Linked DNA regions of Bombyx mori. The protein of the gene in region 1 interacts with the protein of each later gene in a pairwise test. Links are inferred from orthologs where the notes say so. Each region holds a gene or a part of one and is shown in the gene's direction. Other genes may lie near its edges. The genes, in order: peroxisomal biogenesis factor 19, peroxisome assembly protein 12, peroxisomal membrane protein 11B and peroxisomal membrane protein PEX16.

The links.
Region 2: the proteins of peroxisomal biogenesis factor 19 (region 1) and peroxisome assembly protein 12 interact in a two-hybrid assay, tested with the Homo sapiens proteins (4 studies listed by BioGRID and IntAct, with this or other methods). The link is inferred for Bombyx mori from reciprocal best matches to the Homo sapiens genes PEX19 and PEX12.
Region 3: the proteins of peroxisomal biogenesis factor 19 (region 1) and peroxisomal membrane protein 11B interact in binary tests that used the Homo sapiens proteins (3 or more experiments, as listed by UniProt). The link is inferred for Bombyx mori from reciprocal best matches to the Homo sapiens genes PEX19 and PEX11B.
Region 4: the proteins of peroxisomal biogenesis factor 19 (region 1) and peroxisomal membrane protein PEX16 interact in binary tests that used the Homo sapiens proteins (3 or more experiments, as listed by UniProt). The link is inferred for Bombyx mori from reciprocal best matches to the Homo sapiens genes PEX19 and PEX16.

Annotation. Positions count from the first base shown.
Region 1 is NC_085129.1:20,648,546-20,654,348, forward strand, and holds the start of peroxisomal biogenesis factor 19, read left to right. Parts: upstream 1-2,172; 5' UTR 2,173-2,346; coding exon 2,347-2,410; intron 2,411-3,477; coding exon 3,478-3,645; intron 3,646-5,803. Other genes in the region: uncharacterized protein LOC101735788, read right to left, coding at 719-841, 1,317-1,336. UniProt on the Homo sapiens protein: Necessary for early peroxisomal biogenesis. Acts both as a cytosolic chaperone and as an import receptor for peroxisomal membrane proteins (PMPs).
Region 2 is NC_085122.1:395,710-401,577, forward strand, and holds the start of peroxisome assembly protein 12, read left to right. Parts: upstream 1-2,260; 5' UTR 2,261-2,415; coding exon 2,416-2,535; intron 2,536-2,924; coding exon 2,925-3,033; intron 3,034-3,617; coding exon 3,618-3,820; intron 3,821-5,507; coding exon 5,508-5,743; intron 5,744-5,868. UniProt on the Homo sapiens protein: Component of a retrotranslocation channel required for peroxisome organization by mediating export of the PEX5 receptor from peroxisomes to the cytosol, thereby promoting PEX5 recycling.
Region 3 is NC_085125.1:10,170,115-10,176,005, reverse strand, and holds peroxisomal membrane protein 11B, read left to right. Parts: upstream 1-2,597; 5' UTR 2,598-3,072; exon of another isoform or gene 3,073-3,076; intron 3,077-3,154; 5' UTR 3,155-3,293; coding exon 3,294-3,349; intron 3,350-3,440; coding exon 3,441-3,556; intron 3,557-4,247; coding exon 4,248-4,792; 3' UTR 4,793-5,505; downstream 5,506-5,891. Other genes in the region: RNA-binding protein spenito, read right to left, coding at 1-235. UniProt on the Homo sapiens protein: Involved in peroxisomal proliferation. May regulate peroxisome division by recruiting the dynamin-related GTPase DNM1L to the peroxisomal membrane. Promotes membrane protrusion and elongation on the peroxisomal surface.
Region 4 is NC_085107.1:1,911,670-1,917,703, reverse strand, and holds peroxisomal membrane protein PEX16, read left to right. Parts: upstream 1-1,939; 5' UTR 1,940-2,134; coding exon 2,135-3,124; 3' UTR 3,125-5,306; downstream 5,307-6,034. UniProt on the Homo sapiens protein: Required for peroxisome membrane biogenesis. May play a role in early stages of peroxisome assembly. Can recruit other peroxisomal proteins, such as PEX3 and PMP34, to de novo peroxisomes derived from the endoplasmic reticulum (ER).

The DNA of each region.
Region 1 (5,803 bases):
CTAGGTAGTGTTAGCAACCTCTCTCAGGTTGAGCCCGTGAGCTCACCTTACCCGTCCGGGCGTAATTGGAATAGCCCGCTGGGCTACCAGCGAATAGGTAGGGTAAAATATCACCTCTTTCCTACACTAAACCAAATTCTAGGTCTTACTAAGCCGCATCGCAAAGGAAGACGACCAAACCACAGTTGAAAGCAAAATTCGGAGCAACAAAAACATTGTCTCTTTTACAGCGAGGTACTTATCATTCAGTAAAAAAAAACTCCCGCACCGCGCCTAGTTGGAATAGCCCCGCAATAATTAAGCAGAAAAAAAAAACATTGAGATATGACAATTATTATCTCCCTTCTTGACCATACGTCGATATTTAGTTGGTGATCGCTTTGTTGGTACTGTGGATGATAGATAGAGGTACTATCTTATTTAAGGGACAAGTTGAAAAAGGGTCCGCCAGTACACAGCAAATTATTGTTGGAAGACTCACCGAAATAGCGCTAGTGTACGAAGTGGAAATGATATGAATATAGCAGTTTTAAACAGAGTAAAGTTTGCTGGGTTGAAATGAAGTGTGGTAGTTTAAGGCGCTGTTTTTAAAATCCTTCCACTTGCTACTGTGGCGCACCGCAATTGGCTCCTTTTCAGCGGACACTTTTTAATACACTGAGATGGTTCTCTTTACTTCTAACCTTTTCATTTCTAAACTTTAAAAAAAAAACCTTACTCTCTATCGATTTGCGATGGTGTCTTCGGTATTTCTTCCGGCTCTGGCGGTTCTTCCTTTCCCTTTTTCTTATCGTCCTTCTTTCTGTCGACTGGTGGAGGAGCGTCTCCACCTGCTGGCGCCCTGGTGGGAGGTGAATTTAAAAATAAGAAGTTTTAAGTATCCTGTTTTCGTAGATGTTTGCCAGTATTTGAGGTTTTTTGTTGGACTAGAATGATGGAAGAGCTCACGGCCCATTGTTAAATGACCAGAGCTTATAGAACAAGATGAATGCCATCTTGGAACCTTGAAACCCAAAGTCAAAATCTGAGTTGCATTGTTTAAACAAATTTTGTAACAACAAAATGGTCGCTTCGCTTCGCTGCCGAAATACGGTGGATTTGGTACCTAACCACGTGCACATACATGGACAAGAAGCTTCTACCAGTAGTAATTGTACAAATGTGTAAATTTTGCGAGCTCTATTTTGTTTCATTTATCGGCTACATAACACTTCACCGTGTGCTATTCCGTTTTAAAAAAAACAAAATTGGAAAAAATTAACCAAGTGCCAACTACCGGTCCCTTGAGTTGACTACTTAAATATTTTGTAACTTACTGAGATTTTTTATTGGACATTTTCGTAAAAATCACGACTTTTTCAAGAGCATACGTAAATTTGTAATTATCTTGATATTCCTTGTTTTTTGTGATTAAACAACGTTTTTGCGATTTTTTTGTCACTTTTTATTTATTTTTTTATGAAACTACCACATTTCGTATACCATGGCCGATTTGAATGGCTTTGAAGTTTCAAAACATATGTCACTTTTCGAACTAAGTTTTTTTTTTATTCAAGCCAGTTTGTTAAATATTTGTCTCATTTCCATTTATTTTATTTCGAATGAGAGATCGAAATACCGAAAAGCTTAGGGTAAGTATTCCAAGACAACAAAAGCAAAAAAAAATGAAAATAGAATTATGTATTACAATCAAACAATATTTTAAATATTATAGATTTTTTAATGTAACCTAAGAAACTCATGGTTCGGGTTTTAAAATTCCCGCTTAAATTAGTTACCTTCAGTGAAGTCATATGACTTCAAGGCATAGAGTTACTGTTGTAGGTACTTATTAACTCCATGCTTCAAGGTCAACGAAATAATCTTAGAAATATTTTTTGTCTCTTTTTGTCTTATAGTCATTACGTATGATAGAAAGACAACAAACAAATGAATGAGTCAAACGTTTTGCTTTTGCAATGTCTATTGGAAATGCACCGTTTTATCGAAATTTAATCATCGATATTCATTAATTTTATTTTCATGTATAGAGTAAAATACATATTTTTTTATTAAAATTGTATTTCATTTCTACTGGTCAGCGAAGATTTTGTAGTAAATTCACTTAAAATCGATCTGTTTCTTAGTGCCGAAACCTTTTCAAAACGCCTTTATTGTCTTTTCACAGGGAAAAAACCCATTCATTAGCTATAGTTCATAAGTGTATAATCTATGAGCTAGTTCGATCACTCAAAATTCATGCTCATTTCAACCTTTGAAATTTCTATTGTCAAATTTGTCACTCAACGTGAAAATTTTTCTGAACCAATTTTCTATTGAATTTATTTTAATTATTACCGATTAAACATGTCTGACAATAAGAACGCATCCAAAAACGATCAAGATCCTGAATTAGACGATTTATTGAACAGTAAGTTGTTAAATCTTGATTACATTTCATCGTGTTGATTTTCCATTACACAATAACCTACGGTCTAAGTGCATGCTAATTTTGTTTGTTTTCTCTGTTAATGTCTTCTTTGTCAGTTATCAACATCTTTAATATTTCTTTATTCTATTTAAGTAATCGCGTATGAAAGTTTTTAATTTTAAAATGTAAAACTGACGATAAATCCTCAAACTCAAAAAAAAAGGTTCCGTATTTTTTCTTATTGCGTTTAGCAATGTTGATTAGACGTAATCAAGATAAAATAATGTTGAGCATAATTAATTAACACTATCATTAGTTTTCATTTATTCATCAAATGACAATTTTTTTGTTAAATTTTATTAATAGCTAGCTTATTGCTGTTTTGTACTGCTTAAGATGAGTACACTTGATTACTGGACCTCATGGTCATTGCACGCTGCTCTCACTTTACTATCTTCTCTTCATCCTCTAAAATTAGGAAATATCATGATTCATGATATTTCCTAATTTGATAATGATGATCATCATCCGCATGGGTAGGTATCACCACCCCGCCTATATCTGCCATGAAGGGCCAGGTGGCCAGGTGGGCTGTGAGCTTGTCCACCCGCTAAGCAATGAAAAAAAAACCTAACCTACCACTCTATCAAACTGTCTTCCGCTTGCCTTCAACCCATGTAATGGAGACTGGCACATATCCTCCTATCATGCTGCATAGGATTTTGGTGTGAGTTTTACAACACCGGCCTGTTGTCAACTCTATGGGTTATTTACTCAAGTGACATATCTATTGTGGCATGCCATAGGGAGGAGTTGTTCTTCTGTCAGTGTATCTTTTACCTGATTCATTTTTGGTTATACTCTTAACATTTAAATTTTTATTTTAAAAATTAGATTTACATATATCTAAAAGATAAAACTGCTACATATTATTAGTTTTTCGGTATTTTCATAATCTAGAAAATATAACTAACAAAATATCACTCTAACCAACCTGGCCTCAATAGATTAATAGTCACAGAAAGTCATACTAAAAAACTGTCACTCAGGGTGTAAATTTATTCCAGGTGCACTTCAGGATATGACAAAGAAGAAAGATGATAAGCCAAACGATACCACTCCTGATGGTGGCGAAGCAATGCAGAACATGTGGGGCGAGGAATTTATCAAAGAAGCAGCTGCTCAGTTTGAGAGCAACATGGCAGCTATCCTAGGCAGTTTCAGTGGAGTGCCAGGTACGTCAATTAGTGCGCCAGGTTCCATCTAGCTTCAAGTGGCTAGTGGACTTCATATCAGTGTTTCCACTTTAATGATTTTCTTTCCCCACACCTCAATTCAAATTTCCCCTTCTCAGGGCTTTTTCTCCTCAAAAATGTTTCTGCTGTAGTTTTTACTTTTGGCCCTAGTGTAGTAACTAAAAAAAGGTCTTTATCGATTTTAGATTTTACCCATGATTTCCCGCAATTTCCCCTTTTGATGTCTTCTCTTTTTCTCCTCCTATGGACCCTAATTTCCCCTCAAATGGGGAATGTCCCCTCGTTGTGGAAACACTGCTTCATATATGTAGCGTGCAACATTCGGTCGCACTCGGGCGTCATCGGACGCGATCGGAGCTCCTGAACGCGCAGGTGTCCCGTGACGTCATGCAGCAAGATTCGCGCGCGCGTCGATTTAAGTTGAATGTAAAAACGTAATTTTAATTTTAATTCGTATCTTCCAGTGCCTAGCGTTGCTTACTTTACTTTTGGTTTATGTTTTAATATTGTACACATTAAGTATAATAATATGTATTGTTGAAATGGAGTGTTTGTCTTTTGTATATTCGGAATGAAAATATCCCGTGAATACGAACAACAAATAATAAACCACATACACAATTTTTACTGGTGGTAGGACCTCTTGTGAGTCCGCGCGGGTAGGTACCACCGCCCTGCCTATTTCTGCCGTGAAGCAGTAATGCGTTTCGGTTTGAAGGGTAGGGCAGCCGTTATAACTATACTTGAGACCTTAGAACTTATATCTCAAGGTGGGTGGCGCATTTTACGTTGTAGATGTCTATGGGCTCCAGTAACCACTTAACACCAGGTGGGCTGTGAGTTCGTCCACCCATCTAAGCAATAAAAAAAAACAATAATTTCAACCACTCACATTGAGACATCTTCCAAGCCTCAGTTGTAATGGCTGATCCACCCTTGAGAGATCCCTTGCCACAGAAATTTGTCAGCAGAATGGCTTAGGTTTATGTAGGATGGATAATGCCTATCTTAAAAAAAAAGTGAATAGAATTTGGGAGGAAAAAGGTCGTTAAGTTGAGGATTTCATGAAAGGAATGTTGTAGCTGAAGCCAAACAAGGCAAACAAGTACCTAATTAATCAATCAGATTATTATCAACATTAAATCTGCGGCTTATTTTGACACACTTTAATTGGCATACCATAGTATGTATATGATATATTTTTTATGTGATATTCACCGATTTTAAAGTATCCAATTTAATTAAAACATCACACACTTATCAAGGACCAATGATAATACAATCTGTACTAATATTATCAAGCTGAAGAGTTTGTTTGTTTGAACGCGTTAATCTCAGGAACTACTGGTCTGATTTGAAAAAATCTTTCAGTGTTACATAACGCATTTATTGAGGAAGGTTATAGGCTACATAACATCACGGTAAGGCCGATACAAGTGGAGCACCAATAAAGAATGTTTCAAAATAGGGGCTTATAGCTCCTTAACATTCTATAATTCAAAAATATTTTCACTTTCTACGTAAATGAAGTGGGGGTAAAATTTAGTGATATGCCAAAGTAACTATTCCACGCGAACGGAGTCGCGTGCAAAAGCTAGTAATTTAATAAAATTGTCTTATTACAATGATTGGGATCTTCAGGGTTAAAATGCAGTAGTGTCTTGTGCCGTGTATTACTTACTATACATATATGAAGAAAAACCTTTCTTATTTAAAACTCTATAGTTTTTAAAAATGAGTTTTCTTCATTGACATCCATTGTTATGGAGTGAAGTCTGTGATTAAGTAAAAAGGGAGGACTTAAAAATTTTGTATAGCTTATTAATACTGTTTAATTTTTAATATTGATTTTAAAAGAGATCAAGACTTTTAAATGCTCTTATCTTATTATACATATAACAGAACACGCAATTAAGTCTTTTATCTATTTACTGGTGGTAGGACCTCTTGTGAGTCCGCACGGGTAGGTATCACCACCCTATCTTGAGATGTAAGTTCTAAGGTCTCGAGTATAGTTATAACGGCTGCCCCACCCTTCAAACCGAAACGCATTACTGCTTCACGGCAGAAATAGGCAGGGTGGTGGTACCTACCCGTGCGGACTCACAAGAGGTCATACCACCAGTAATTACGCAAA
Region 2 (5,868 bases), on another chromosome or scaffold:
TTGTTGTGTCACTTTTAGAACAAGTAAAGTGCCAAAGTTAACAGAAAATAGTTTTAAACGGAAGTATTACAAAAAATTCAATAGATCAAAAAATAATAAGAATACAATGAATTGCAAGGTAACGACATTTCGGTGGCTTTGGCCGGATTATTGGCCGACTGTTTGTTTAGTTGTTACGCGCAGTAGGTAACTAACTATCAAGTAACTATTCATTTTGAAACTGCTATTATTAATAATTTATCTTTTCGTGTTAATTTTTTTTTGTGAACGAGAAATGTAGTTTATTTAATATTGTGTAGATGTTCCTTGTGATGCATAACTGATTGTGAATGGCCTTGACTTAATAGGTGCTACTGTTTGCTTTACAAAAATATTATATTTTGTGAAAATAAAGAAATAAATTTGAGGAAACCGAGTCTTGTTTTTTTCCGAATTTTGGTGAGACTGATTTGAAACAGCACTATTCAATTTACGATAGTGTCATCGTTTGATGCGGCCCCCGGGCGACGCTCGTGCTGCACCATGTTGCTGGACATTTCACTACCACCACAAACTCATAATAAAACTTTAATACGTACAGACATACAAAGCTTCTAAAGTAATATTATAAAGAAGAATACGTGCTACCTACCTATTTGTAAATGAGTTGAAAACTTTTTCTAATTCCAAACAGGAAAATAATCGTTTTATTTTGGCTTCTAAGAATGGATTTTGTTCGTTAGAAGTTACTCAATGGCATTACAAAAAATAGCATTTTTTTTAAATAATCCTTGTCTATATGGTCAATGAGGTCTTTTGCCTGCGCAAGTACCCAAAGTCCAATACAGGTAAAGATACAAGCTATCTATAATTAATTACTGGTAGGGTATAAGACATGACTTTAACGTTTTTTGGCTTTTGCCGAAAAATTCAAACACTCATTGGCTGCTTCCTTTTATTACTACAATTTCACATATTTGCTTTACATAAAATTCATAAATTGTCTTAACCGGTAACCATTTTCGTAGATCGTCCTGGTCCTGACTTCAAATTGCAATTGTTTGTATATAACTTCGCTCAATTCGTGACAAAATACGCCATCATTTTGTGTGCCCGCCCCCGTGTTTTTTGGAGACCGGAAGTCAACAGAAGTTTTATTATAGTCGTGAAACTATTATTAAAGGCATGAATAAAATTATTCTACAGGTCAATAGTTTGACTGAATATTTACAAAAATGATGGGGATAAGGTTTGGCCCTAAATAAATATATTTTAATCATACTTCGATAGAGGTTGTTACTAATTTTGGGTCTGTTTATAATACTGCAAATTAAAATGATCCTAACAGTTTCATGACTATAGTGTAGAAATGGAATCAGTAACTTATTTACAATAATGTTTCAGCTCTTATAATTTAATTACGTGAATAAATATAATGTTCCTAACACTTGAGACATTAAGCTAAACGAATTGTTTCATTTTATTAATTTAACATTTCTCCAGATTTCATTGAGTAAATCTAAAATGGTAAGTTAGTAAAAAGTACTTTCTTAGGCAGTCCATATACAGTAAAAGCTCTTTATCCGCAGGGAATGTATTCCGTAAAATATGCTGCGAATACAAGAATTGAATATGAAATTGTAATTTACCTACATATGTATACGGCAATAGAGGGGATACGTTCCTAGGGGAAAGATAAAAAACATTTAATAACATACCTTAAGCATAGTTGTAATATGGTCTATTTTACCTTTTTATTAGTCAATTTGACGACGCGTTTACTAAGAATATTTGGTTGGATTCCTTTATATTGGAATCCTTTTTATCAATGTGTCCCACAATGTACCAATTAGATCCTCAAATAAAGAAATCTTTAGCCTCGAATAAAGGAACTGGGTCGGATTTTTTTAATCCGCGATTGAAGTAGACCTGAGGAGCTCTTGTACCAAAATTGTAATGATTTTAAGAAGATTAGCAAGACCCTAGCACATCTGAATCAATAGTTTGTGAAATTGAAGTCTATGATCGAGATTTTCCCCACAAAAAGTCAATTTATGTGTCAAACCGACTGACCAACATTTTACTACAGATTCATTTTATTGTGAGATAATTTCATTTCATTTTATCCAGCACCTACTGAGTTTTGTCTCATCTCTAATCATTTAACTACATTTTCTTCGTTCCATAGCAAATCTTCAGGGAATATAATTTTATTTCGTTAACATTATTTTTTCACACAACCAACATGTCTTCGACTTTTCTTGTAAGAGATTTTTGGCTTATCAGCCATGGCTCCCTTTGCGTACATGATGGATGATTTAACAAAAAAAAAAGAACAGCTGAGAAAATAAACAGAAATTAAAAATTTAAATAACCAAAACATTATACTATTATGTTCAATTTTGTTAATCGGTTGATATTGTAATATTTAATGTAATGGCGGTATACGCGGCTCATTTAACACGCAGCTTCCAAGGGACTCCATCGGTTTTTCAAGTGACAGCACAGGAGGCCCTTGGAACTACTTTAAAACCTGCTCTCAGGAAGGTTATTGAAGTAAGTATATCACTATATTATAATTTGTCCATATTCAAGACTATTCCCGTTAATTTCTTAACTAAAATAATTGTTGTGGTCAATTTAATTTAATAGTTAAATAAACTTCAAATTTAAGTTAGGAAAGTATTGAGTGTTAGTGACATGAACAACTTGCTTAATGGCCAGGATAGTATGAAACTTAATAAAGTTATACCTCCAGAGGAACAACTATGGTACTTGGTGGATTCTTCGCATCATAATTGTCAAATTCAAACAACATTATACTTAATTTGTTATACTACATTATACAACGGTTACTTACACACAGTCCTAAGACACAATGTAGAATATAACTTAATTTTTTTAATTTGTTTTAAATGAGGATGTAAAATTTGAAATGATTTCAGTATTTATCAGTGCTGTACCCTAACAAATGCAGCTGGTGCACTCATTGGTACGATGAACTGTATTTGCTGTTTGATTGTATAGTGCAGTACAATTACCTTAAATATTATGGTAATTCTGATTTAATTTATTATATTTTAGTCTTATCCTTTAAAATAATAATAATCTTTTAAAATTCTTTTTATTTTTGTATTTTTTAAGCTACTTTTCATAAGGTACTTTTTTTTAAAAACACTAGCAATTTCTGTAAAATATGTGAAAATAAGCTCATTACTAAAAAAGTTAAGTATGTATTTCATAGAATAATTGGTCCTGCCACTGAGATTAGAACAACAGTGGTATCGTTTGACATGAATGTACCAAGCATCTTAACTTTTAGGCCACAATGACTTACAAAAGTATTTACTGTAGTCCATAGACAACAATGTGAATGTCATCATCTTGAGATATGAGTTCGTAATAAAACCAGACTGCATAATTGTTATCATAAAGAGGCAAGATGGAGCCTCTCATACACACAGGTTTTTCACTGGTGGTAGGACCTCTTGGGAGTCCGCACGGGTAGGTACCACCACCCCGCCTATTTCCGCCGTGAAGCAGTAATGCGTTTCGGTTCGAAGGGTGGGACTTAGCAAGAAAGAAAAAAACAGATTAACGGATTGCTAATGATTTTAAAACCTCATTTATGGTTACAGCTGCATCTTTTTCTGAAAGTTTCTATGGTCTACTCCGGGTGCCCATATCGTACAGTAGTGAGTTCAGCATTGGACAACGTCTCCCAATAGACTTAGAGCGAGGATCTCTTGCACTTCTAGTATTGTTGCCATACGTTAAGGACAAAGTCGGTGCTATTATTGATAAATGGAGGGAAGACAATGAAGATGGGAAACTTGGTAAGGTATGCAATTAAAATTTGAAAATGTGACGATTAGAAATAGGTAGCTGACTACAACCTTTATTGTATTATTAATTATTAATATGGGAATATATAATTGCTGATTATGAGTAACTAAGTCTTTATAAACTAGAATATAATATGCGTGTCTGATTTGCACTATGTCAAATAGGCAACTTAATTAGTTAGGTTAAATACGTAGATTACTTAACTCTTCTGGAGATTGTACTATCTCAATAACATCCCACAACCAGTACTCGTTCCAATTGATCCCGTTGTTGTATCAGCTGTAGAGTTAGCTGGGCAGCGGAAGCTGTACCTCCTCAGTAGTTTCTTAGTCAGGTTAATGAATTAAACGTTCGGATACTGTTTGTGCATTTATGTATGTATTTTGTATTCGTACATGTATTTTAAGAGAACTATCAAGTAATGTTTGTTTGTAAGTAAGAAAAGGGAATCTTATAAAGACAATGATTGTCTGACAGGCAGGATGAGGGAAATTGACTCTGTTTAACTTTACTTTTAATTTTTACAATAGAAATGCCCTTTAAAAAACTTTTTTTTTATAATTTCCCACTGAGTTTTTGTTACTGGATCTTCTCAGATTAACGGGTTTTTTTTTACTGCTAGGAGAAATGCTGCTGTTTTGAAATTCAATAAGTATATAGAAATCAGCTTAAATGATTTCATATACATTATTAATGTGTGTTTTCATGAAACATAACAAATTGTATATTTAGTGTTCACAAAAAAATGTTAAATAAGGTAAAATTGGCTATCATCTCTATGACGTGTCATGTTCTTCAATCCCTTGAAATAACAGATATTAGTAATAATTAGACACAATACTAATAACATTAAAGACACGAATTCGCTTACATAACGAAGTCGTCATAAAGTTTACGACACCAGTACATGTTGTTGGTAAATTTTACAGTTATCAGCTAATGTAAATTATTTTGATAAAACTATCATTTCTGTTATATGATACAATACGCGTTTATCTAGGTTTTACAGCACATTGTAATTTTATATCAGAATCTGTCTTACTGAAGAGAAAGAGCTCCAATAGTTATACTCAATTATTGATGGGGCATGATATGACACAGGACAGGATCCGCTGGAGCCCGCCACAACATGAATACCTTAACACATTCACTGCCATGTGGGTCACCGGTTTATTTATTGCTTAGCTGGTTGGACGAGGTCACAGCCCACTTGCTGTTAAGTGGTTACTGGAACCCATAGACATCTACAACGTAAATGCGCCACACACCTTGAGATATAAGTTCTAAGGTCTCAGTATAGTTACAACGGCTGCCCCGCCCTTCAAACCGAAACGCATTACTGCTTCACGGCAGAAATAGGCAGGGTGGTGGTACCTACCCGTGCGGACTCACAAGATGTCCTACCACCAGTAAATCGACGTAGTTACTTCAGTGCGCCGCGTAGGGCACTGGTGACCTACATGGCAGTCGACGTGTTAAGAGATGAGGTCGTAGTCTCGATTACTTTGAATTACGGCTTCTTCCTTCACCGGACCGGAACACTGGATTATTCCGCGGCAGAAAAGGCACTTGTCTTGCACGGTGGTACCGACCATCACAGGTGCACAAAATGAGCACAAGTAAAACTATGTGCATTGATACAAGACCAGCGCTTGGGTGTATTATGGACACTGGTCATTCAGGACACGCGGGGCCGGCTTCGTTCGGCAGCGATAAAAGTGTACGCGATCCTCCACCTCGTGTACGAGGGTCTACAGCTGGTGCAGCTGGCGCGCTACCTGAGGGGCGGCTCCCCGTCGCACTCGCTGCCCATGGCGGCGCTGGGGCTCACACTGAGGAACGCGCCCCCCCAGGAACTGCCCGAGGACGAATACACCTGGAGTGATTTATTCAAGAATTTGTCGTCTGGGCAAATCGGGTACGATTTTGTATTTGGTATTCATTGATAGTTTTAACAAGAATACAGTAATGTTTGTATTATATAAGGCCGTCAGCGCAAAAGTGGCCTAACCCACAATTTTTCATATTGTATGTATTACATTA
Region 3 (5,891 bases), on another chromosome or scaffold:
GCACGTAATCATCGCGATGAGGTGACACATATCGACCGCGCGGGCTAGGGGAGCGTACTCGACGTCGTACTCGTTCCGGGCTTCCACGCTCGTCAGAGCTATCGTCATACCTACCAATACTGCTGCGTGTCCGTTTTGATCGCGGCATACTATCACGCGACGAACTTCGCTTCATATTGCGAATTTTCACCGTAATTCGATCTCTATCTCTATCGCTACGCGGTAATCCAATCATGAAAGCTCACTTCGACGAACTACTATCTGAAATACACATCACAATATTACACGTCACTGTAAATTAGTTTTGGTCGATACAATAAAGTAACCCACTGATGCACTATTCTTACCCCAAACGAATTACAAACACTAATCACTCAGCAGATCACTGAAAACCTCAATCTTGGACGAACTAATTCGTATTATTAAGTAGACAATTATTTTAAAATAATCACGTTCACTTCAACTTTATTTAATGTAAATTTGAAATTAGAAGCGCTGATAAGCATCAAGAATATCGACCATTACATGGGAATCTCACAAAATGGCAGTTTGGCTGAGGGTTGCCAAATGTGATTTCTGAATTTCTTGTACATATTTCCCCAAATTATTTTGCCGTTTCTTCTGAGTTGTATTATGTACGATAGGTACGCTGTTTCGGTTCTGTAACCAGCTTTACGGGTAGCGGATTTTGTCCGATAAGTGTTTTTTGGGTCTTCATCGAGTTGATCTTAAAACCAACTTTGGCGCTTCCAACTATATATCGTCCAGTTTGGATTGCATGCAGACAACTTCATGATTAAAAAAACATTAGTCATCAGCATGGTCTAGACCATCCAATTCTTTGGACAACCCCCACATAACAAGTCACATCCATGCTACTGTCGAAATTGCTATGATTTAATTAACTAATTGTTGTAATATGGACTGCTAAACTGAATACTTAATAGAGAAAATTACTGATCTGTATCCCAAGAGAAGTAAAGCTACCTATGATCTGGACTTTTTGGCGGGAACGCGAGAAGTGAAGTTGTGTGCTTTGTTTTATTTAATAGTGTTTCTTAGGTTTGAATGTGTAATAACGTGGTTTATTAACTATTTAGTATCTGTGAAAGTGCACAAATGGGAAAATGAAACAAAGCCACTGAACGTAACTTCTCGGGATCTTCCAAAAAGTTCACTGAAAAAGTCTCAGCAAATGACCCCTATTTTACTGAGATTATACTTCATTCCATATCATCTTATCTCATTTCATTTCATTTCGTTTTCATTTCATGCCATGTATAATAATAATCAACTTCATTTCATTTCATAATATCATTTTTCATTAAAAAAGCTGTCATTAAAATTAAAAAAAGACATGACCAAAAAGTCTTAGTTACCAGATCATAAAATCACTTTAAAAAAATGCTACCAGTGTAGTACCGTAAAATGGGGCGATTAGGGACAAATTCCAACTTTATGAGCAATTTTATGGTAGTTGTTGATGTATATAATGCTATATCAGGATCAAAATGATTGAGTCTTGGGGGCATCTTTGTTGTCTAATTTAAAATTATGCAACTAGCATTCCAGTTTAAGCAAAAAATGCAAAAATAGGTCTAATCCCTATTTACCCGAAAATTGCGGTTAATTGGGACGAAATGAGAAATTTGCTAGGGTTGGCACTACTTTTATTTTTATATATAGTTTTAATTTATTTATTTATTTAGTTGCACCAACAAAGTGATCAATAAAAAAAATTGAAAAACTGACAAAAGTACATGGCAGACATCACCTCAATTATAGGTGCAATCGACAGTGCTGATATTTCTATCTGGGTTAAGAGATTAGGTGTGTCGGTTATTCCATGGATTAATCAGATGAATACCCCCACTCTGAACAAATATTAAATATTTTATTATGTATTACTTAGACATTTTTGTCCACCTTGAGATTTCATTGATCTTGTTACATGTCTCTGCAAAATCGACTTACTTATATTAAATTGCTTATCTATTTCAACTAAAGATTTATTCCCAATTTCGCTTCGATAAACCAGATTTTTACCAACAAATTTAAAAAATATTGTTATAACTACATAGACAACCCTACAAATCTGTACCTATTTATACTTAGGTCGTTTCCATTTCACGTATTCTCATCCCAATTGACCTCTTTTTCGTTGTTATTTGTACCTAAGACGTCCCCAATATCCCCAAAAACAACAGATTTTTACATGTATTTTTATTTAATCAAATACATTAAAACCAATAACAACTGAGACTTACCTTTAATATATATGCTGGTTCAAACACTAAATAACGTTTATAAATCATAGTCGTCTTCTATTATTATCAAATAAATAAAAGAGAGCAAAGTTTCTAGCACTAAAATAATTACCACCACAGGAAGTTAATTTGAAACGCGATTTTTTATAAGTTAGCAGCTATTATCATGCATATTCAGAGTTGTTTTGTGAACTTTCAACATTCTACTATTAAACTACAAAAAAATGGAAGATTTTGCAACGAATATAAAACTTATATTGAGCGTCGAAAGATTTTCCCGGTTTTTTCCCGATTCGCCTTTCAATCCCTAATCGCCCCATTTTACCGGTACTTTTTGGCGGGAACGCGAGGAGTGAAGTTGTGTGAATAGTTTTATTTTGTCTATTTAGTGTTTCTGCAGGTTTAAATGTGTAATAACGGTGGTTTATTAACTGTTTAATATCTGTGAAAGTGCACAAATGTGGGAAAGTGGAACAAAGCCGCTGGACGTAACTTGTCGGGATCCTCCAAAAAGTCCTCTGAAAAAATCTCACTAAATGACCATCATTTTACTGAGATTGTAATTCATCTCTTATCATCTCATCTCATTTCATTTAATTTCATCCCAGTTGATTAATGTCTCAAATTAATCCTCTTCGTTTCATTTCATTTCACTCCATTTTATCATTTTTCATAAAAATAAGAATTTATTAAATTAAAATAAGAAACGACCTAAAAGTCTTAGTTACCGGGTCATAAAATCCCTTAAAAAAGCTACCAGTGTATGTAGATAAACATTCTATTTTTTTGCTAAGTAAGTAAGACTGTAAGTAAGTTGTAAGACTTAAGTAATCTTAAAGGCATATGCCATTTATATTAAGTAATGAAAACGCAACTCTATGTTACAGTTTCCAAAAAACGATCCACATTAACATACGAGCAAGTTACTACAAGTATGTACTAAGAACGCTCTTGGCGTAGCGTTTACATTTTATTTGCGTTTCACTTGATTTGACCCTACTCCACAAAGTCCATGACGAAATCGCAATGGATATAATTATAAAAGTAAATAATCAATCCATTGGAAGAGACAAATTGGCAAGGTAAACTTCATAGACAGAAGAGGTTTATTTATACAAACTGGCTTTTATTAATCTCTACTCTACTAATAATAGATTTATTTGTCTTGTCTAGATTTATTCAATATATTAGCAAGCTTGTATGGCATCAATTGGAGACCAGGAATGCTAATAAATACTCCATAGATAGAATAAAAAATTTGGAAAATGCATTTAGTTCATTTAGAAAGAGTAAGTAAATACTATTTGTACCATTCGTAAGACTTACAATCCAACTACAAACGAACACTGGGATGTTATTATTTTATTTATTAGAGCATAATACAAAATACTATTGACCGGTAAACAATATTACACAATTCTTGGAACCTTAAAGAACAATTTGGGTACTTTAAATTTGAGAAATTGTTTTGAGTTGATCCGGTGATCTCCATGATACCATCATACCCCTACCAAACTCATTTCTACTTCTCGGAACAACTGTGTGCCCGCTTTCTAGAAAAATATATTTTATTAGGTCAAATCGATCTGGAATAAACTTTCCTATATGATGTTTAAGGACATGCTCTTCTTCAAATTTAGTTTGAAAAACATCACTGTAGGCATCCACTTGGCTGTGACCCTGGCATTGCTGATGTTCATGAGTGATGGTGTCTAATCACCATCAGTTCACCCTTGTGTCACTTACCTTAAAGTTATTAAAAAAAAATATGAAAATTTATTAAACCAAAGGGAAATGGGGTGACTGAAATCAGCACTGTTTGATGCATTCATTTTGAACAGCATTAGCTGAACCACCTCCTTTTGTCTTTTTCTTTTCTTTTATTTATCTACTTTTATTAGTCTTAAATCTGTGTGAAAGGCAATAAATGCTTTTATTATTATTATTAAATGTTAAAATGTGGATATAATAACTTTTCAGTTCTGAGGTTGGGCAGATGCATAGACGTTTGCTACATTGCTTTAGACAGCATGAGCATAGAAGATCCATTTTTAAGATTAACAATAACAGTTAGCAAGTTATCACATAGTTTATTTTTGTATGCAGACCACATAGTATGGTTGGCCAAAAGTGGATTTCTAAAAACAGACTCAGACACTTGGAATCAAACTGCAAATAAATTCTGGTTACTGTCTATTATTGCAAATTTAGCACGAGACTTTTATGAAATACTCCATTTGTTACAACTACACAATTCAAAATTTCTAAGGCCTTCTGATTTATTAAATCTATCAGTACATAAATTTGATCTAATGTCTACTTTGAAACACATTCATGTGTTATTACTTTGTCATAGAGATATATTTGTTGATACATTGAAGAATGCATGTGACTTGTTCATACCCTTAACAGCTCTTGGGTTTATAAAATTGAGTCCAAGTGCGATTGGCACTTTAGGTGCTATCTCTTCCATTGCTGCTTTGATAACTCTAGTTCAACCTATATCTAAATTGGTACCATCATAATGGCATAAAATAAGTGACAAATTACAGATTTAACTGTATTGTTTGTTAAATTTTTGAATGAACAAAATCAAGTCTTGTCACGATGTTTCAGTGAACATGAGAAATGCTATAAAATACAATATCATATATATGATTCATCATCATTCACGAATAAATTAGTTACATAATAATAATAATTTTAATGCACTGAGTGTTTACCATGAGTAGATACTCTGACATCCATTTGGCGAATTCTTTGATCAGTGATACACAACTTTTTTATTGCAGTACACTTAACTATTTCCAAATTTGCCATAATTCAAATATAATAAAGGTTTAAAAGTTGTATTCTGACTACTTTCTCAAATAGTGATAATAATTTTGAATGAAAAATAAAAAGTACAAAATAATATATGTATGGGGATTTATTCAAAGTTATTAATAGAAATTATTTTTGTTGAGGAATACATGATGCATACAGTGGATGAGAATCAGTTTTTAATTGTTGAAGTATATAAAGTTTTTTCATTCTCAATTTTGCAAGCAAAATTAAATGTGTAAAAAATATTTTTGCTGTCTTACAGTATACATATTTCCATGTAATAATTTTAATCATATATAAGGCTGTAGTGAGTGACTTTGTGAATACTGGTATTGGTGTAGGAAAATTATATTTTATTTTGTACATAAGGTACTAAAGGGATTTAAAAAATATATAAATTATTTACATTAAAGTTTTTGATTTTGTAATTTTCATTAATGTTGTATTCTACCTGAACGAGTACTGTTGAGTTAGGTAATGACTTCACTAGATTGATTTTGGTTCTGCAGCATACTTGATGCTAAGTTGTGGCTAGAGCCTGTATACCTACACTACAAGATCAAAAGCGCAAACCACCTGGAGATATGAATTTGGAGGCTCAATTGTATTCTATAGTAGCATACTTCACGCTCATGCATAACGGGTTCACGGCAAAAGCATGCAGAATGGTTGTACCTATCAGTGCCAGCTTACAATACGCTCCACCACTTGCAAATAATACAATAGAATCGTTGATTATCAATGAATAGCGTGTTTGTCCAAATTTTACTTGAAAGCTTATTCATAAGTTAAGTACTG
Region 4 (6,034 bases), on another chromosome or scaffold:
TGTATTTTCCCTCACTCTTGTTTGGGCAGATTATGCATGAATAAATTAAGAGAGAAAGCAAAAAACGAGGTGTTTTAGAGGTGGAGCATCATTCCCGCATAAGATTTTTATTTATTGCTTAGATGGGTAGACGAGCTCACAGCCCATCTGGCGTTAAGTGGTAACTGAAGCCCATAGACATCTACAACGTAAATGCGCCACCCACCTTGAAATATAAGTTCTAAGGTGTCAGTATAGTTGCAACGGCTGTCCCACCCTTCAAATCGAAACGCATTACTGCTCCACGGTAGAAGTAGGTAGGGTGGTGGTATCTACTCGTGCGGACTCACAAGAGGTCCTACCACCAGTAAGAGATTAATTAAAGAGAGAGATAAATAAGAAGAAGAGATAAATAAGATTTTAAAGCCAATTCCTCAATTCGAAGAATAACTCGTTATTCGAATTTAAGGAAATTTGTTTTTCTTACTTTTATTTCTTGTTTCTAATGGTGCTATTAGTTGTTCCATTTTTGTAAATACATAATCGCCATAGCTTATATCATCCACATTGTCATGAATTTTATTACCAATACATTTCCATCTCTGATAACAGTTACAGTTTGAAGGGTGCTGCAGTTGACATGCCAACAATTGGGATTCGAAATTGTAGTATTCGTTGGCTTTGGCAGTGCTCAACAAGAGCTATTTCCAACGACCCCACTTCATTTAATATAGTAAGCGAAAACGAAGTTTTTTTGAAGTTTTGAACTGATAATGCTTCCCTTTTTTTTATTGCTTAGATGGGTAGACGAGCTCACAGCCCATCTGGCGTTAAGTGGTAACTGAAGCCCATAGACATCTACAACGTAAATGCGCCACCCACCTTGAAATATAAGTTCTAAGGTGTCAGTATAGTTGCAACGGCTGTCCCACCCTTCAAATCGAAACGCATTACTGCTCCACGGTAGAAGTAGGTAGGGTGGTGGTATCTACTCGTGCGGACTCACAAGAGGTCCTACCACCAGTAAGAGATTAATTAAAGAGAGAGATAAATAAGAAGAAGAGATAAATAAGATTTTAAAGCCAATTCCTCAATTCGAAGAATAACTCGTTATTCGAATTTAAGGAAATTTGTTTTTCTTACTTTTATTTCTTGTTTCTAATGGTGCTATTAGTTGTTCCATTTTTGTAAATACAGAATCGCCATAGCTTATATCATCCACATTGTCATGAATTTTATTACCAATACATTTCCATCTCTGATAACAGTTGAGCAAAATTTGGTAAAAATATACTGTAAATTATTGCATCATTTGCATACTTTTACTTTTGTCCAAATATCTCCTAATTATACTTTCAACGTTTCTTTGATATAGTAGACTTCTACAAAACTATGATAAATTCGCCATAATCCAACAAGCAATCTTGGTTCTAGCAAAAAAAATGTACTTTATCTACAAATTTCTTATTTTTCTTTTCAGTCAGACTTTCTAGATTTTTCGTGTTCTTTGAAATATCAAAAACCTTTAACTTATGTCTGTAGGTTCGAAAAATTAATTTAGGACTTATTTTATATTATTATTATTATTTTATATTAGTTTATAAATTTACCGTTTATTGATGAAAATTAACTTCAAGACGCAAGATGCACGAGAGATGTATCGTTTCATTAGGTAAATATACCATGTAAATGTACAAGAAATTCTGATAGATAGTATTCAACATTTGAGAATCAAAGGTTTCTTGCATTGTACGTTTGCCAATATCGTAAACATTCACACAGCCTAAATAAATGTATTTAATTATTTTCTAAATTATGATTTAAGATTATTTCATTACGATTTGGCCGTACGAATTATCTTTAGCTTAACTTATCCATTTGAACAAAACAGTAAGTAAATTCCATTTGGTATTGCAAGTACCAAAAAGTATTATAGGTTTGATTTCTTTTGCCTGTTTATTAAAGAAAACCATTGAAATCAAATGTGTCATTTTTGTCAACAAAGTAAACTGATAGGAGACTGGTTCTAAAGTTCAGTGTTTTATATTTATGGTTAATTTACACAGATGACTTGTTATAATTACTAAACCTTAGTGGTAAATCAATTTAACAGCTAAAGTATTCTGACCAATTCATAAATAATTTTTGTTAAAAAATGAGTAGCAAATTGTCGTTGCAAGAAGTGTACACTGCGTACAAGCGATGGGTGATCAGCAATCCGAGCGTGGTGACAGACGTCGAGACCGTTGCTACATGGACGTCGTATTTCGTGGCCGGTAAAATAAACAAATCCCCAATTATATCTGAAATGATATACTGCATGTCAAAGCTGTTATCATTGTATAATGATAGACTTATTCGAGACGCTTACGGTGCCGAAACTTCATCTTATGGACTTCGTGAACAGATTAAAATATGGCTCACTATCATTCACTATAGTGAAGTGTTTGTAGAACTCATTGCCAAAGACAGATGGGGACAACGAGGCAAGTGGACCGTTGCAACTTTATTGCAGCTCTTCAAAGCATCGTCCGGATTAATTCTTCTGTATCGATTCAAAGAACTTCCCATATCACACCCCCCTGTTGCTTTCTTACAAAGAAAGAAGTATACTGAAGGCCGAGATGTTGAAGAGCATGAGAATTCATTTTTTAAGCTTCGCAGGTCTGGCCGTGTTATGAGACGTGTTGATGGAGCACCTCCAATTGCTTTTCGAGATTGGACGCCAGTGAAAATAAAAGATGATAGACCTGTGCCTGGCATTGAGGTTAAGGACTTATTGTATGCTGAGTCATTACATGTTTTGAAGCCATTACTTCATCTTGCTGCAATGAGGTTCTTTGGAAATAAAGCCTGGAAGCAGTGGTTTGTGGCTCTCAGTATTGATATTGCCAGTCTCAAAGTATACAATAGGTATATGAAAGAGTTATCATATGAACAAAGGCTGGAAATAAGTCGAAGAAAATTAGGCTTAGTCCTATATTTATTACGCAGTCCTATGTACAATAAATATTCTAACACTGTAATAGAAAATGTTCTTAATTCTGCTTCAAAGAAAATACCTATGATGTCATTGATCTGTGGCCCAATAATCCAATACTTAAATCACTGGCAAGACATTTACTTCTATATGTGGGCATCATAAGTAAATAATTAATTAATTAATACAAATCAGTATGTTTCATCAATAAGATTTCAAACTAAAAGTCTACTATAGATTTGAAAATTATAATTTAATGGAAAAATTATGATTAATATTAAATCATTACAGAATGTTACTGTTATCTTTAAGGTATAAATCTAATCCAAATGGTCTGTAAAACTCAAACACAACAGTTTGTAATAATTATATACTACCTAATGTTTAATTTCACATGCAAATGGGAGTAAATATTCAAATGTTTGCTCTTCGCTGGGACAATTTTGTGTTATATATACATATATGCTTCATAAACTGTAAATAATACAGCTTATGTACATTTTTTCTTATTGTTCTTTAAAAAAGAATTTGGACAGAAAGTATTTATGATCAATAGTGGTTCTTGTAATTTTGCTGGCAATCTGATCCACAAAGAGACAAAAAAAAATTGGTAATACATTATCAGAAAACTTAAATGTGATATTTTGCAAATATCTTTATTGTCAAACGAGCATCTCTAGAACAGTTTTGTTTTTTATTAAGAGATATCAAGGTGGAAGATTAAAATCATTCCTTAGTATTTTGTAGACTGTATGTGTAACTGACATTAACTATTAATATTACCTTCAAAATGATTTCAATATTTGAGACAATGGTAGTGTGTTTCATATAGGTGTTGGATACTGTATTATTTTTATCTACTTTTTATATCTATGAATAGATTTAATTATTCATTGACCGGAACATTTGAGTTTGTGAATGGATAAATATAATGATGGCAAAAACCAATCTAACTGATGTGGTCTAGAAAGAAAAAAACAATAATATTTTTTCAATATAAGTGAATCCATAATGTCGAATTCTTTACAGAAACTGAAATAATAAAACAATCTTGTAGTAGTAGTAAATTTAATTAAACAGATATGAAGAGAATACAAGCACATTGTAATATGTCAAGACATAAGAATGATTCAGATTTTAATCTAAATATGTGGGTAATAAGAAACTTTATCTGTTTGTAAAATCTGTGTCTATTAATGGAACATTTTGCATTATGAATTGATATGTCAATAATCGAGTAAGAGAACAAGGCTATGATGTCCCAAGCAATGAATTGAGATATGAACTAAAATATCGCAGCACAGATCTCTGTCTAATAAATGACATTGCAGGACAAAGACAGTCAACGAGCTGCATCTAAAGAATCGTGATTCTTAGGTACTTATGAAGCTATGAAGGAATGATCGAGGCAGAGTGTCAACCATAAACAAAGTAGATTTCAGTTGTACAGTTCGTTTATTGATTTACTTTTTGTCAAGCCGACACGTTGTCACCTCTCGCACTACATACCTCTGGAAACGTCTGATAAGTGGCCCACACACTAGTCTGGTTACTGTAGTCTGTAGACCCGGAAATGTGTATACCGCTACTCCCTTCGAGACATTTGGATGCGCAGGCGCAGAAATAAGTAGGACGGCGAAATCAACCCGGGCGAGCTCGCAAGACGCCTTACCATCAGTGTGCTTAGTGTGAGTTTTTTAACGTCCTCGATAGCGTAAAAGTTACCTGAAATTTGTATGCAGCCGGAACAGTGCCCCCTAGCGGCAAACATAGGCAAACGTTCCAACTCCCTACAAATTTGACTTTTACGCTATCGTGAACGTTAAAAAAACTCGCACTAAGCACATAGTAAAACTGAACTATATCGTATATTGCAATGTGCGTATTCGTAATAAGGCACAATTTGGCCATACCTACTGTCGTAGACTAAAGATGTGTTGCTTTTAATGACCCTCATGGTATACATATAGGTGGTCTTGTTGAATAACTTATTTGTTGCGTATGCTGGTACTTGGGTTTGCGTATTTGTATATTTGCTTTGATGCCTAAAACAGAGATGAGCTGAGAAGCAGTAGTTAATGTTTAATGGTAAATAATGCAAATAACAGTCCTTTTTGGTTAACTGTAGATAATAATTGCAACTGCAAGAGCTTTGGAAGGCCTTTTGCCTTTTAAATTTGTGTGGACGAAGCGTTTGTGAATACAACAAATATCTGACCTTGTACCTACTGGCAGATGCTACGCCAAGTGAAGTGCCACCATTGTACATTTATTTCCATGAATCTTATATATTTTTTACTGTATTGCAAAACAATGACTCAATAAATGGAATTATGTGTAATATAAAGTGGTCTTTATTAATTTATATGTCTTCTTATATATAAGACGTCCTATCACCAGTAATTACGCTATTAAAATGTTCGCGTGTTTAATTTTAATATTTTTTATTCCTTCACCGTGTACTTAAGTCATTCGTGAAAATTTGTTACGTACGTATTTTATTTCTTTAGAAAAATTACTAACTGCCTGCGGGATTCGAACACCGACATAGTCGCATGGCTTGATACGAATGTACCGAGCGTCTTATCTTATAGGTCACGATGACATTAAAAACTAAACGAGCTTGCGTTGCCCGTTGCTAAATGCCGTCACGCACGCTGCCTTCGAAATCTGTCTTTTTTTTTATTGCTTAGATGGGTGGACGAGCTCACAGCCCACCTGGTGTGAAGTGGTTACTGGAGCCCATAGACATCTACGACGTATTGCGCCACCCACCTTGAGATATAAGTTCTAAGGTCTCAGGTACAGTACAACGGCTGCCCCACCCTTCAAACCGAAACGCATTACTGTTTCACGGCAGAAACAGGCGGGGTGGTGGTGCCTACCCGCTCGGACTGACAAAAGGTTCTACCACCAGTAACTGTGGTTGTCCTATAGTTCAAACCGCAACAAGATTGCTTCGCGGTTAGAATTAGGCGGGACTATGGTATCTACCAGGGCAGGCTTACAGGTACGCTCTGTACTTCCAAGTTCCAGTAATTAATAAATTTCGTAAGTTGTTCTCGAACAAGTATT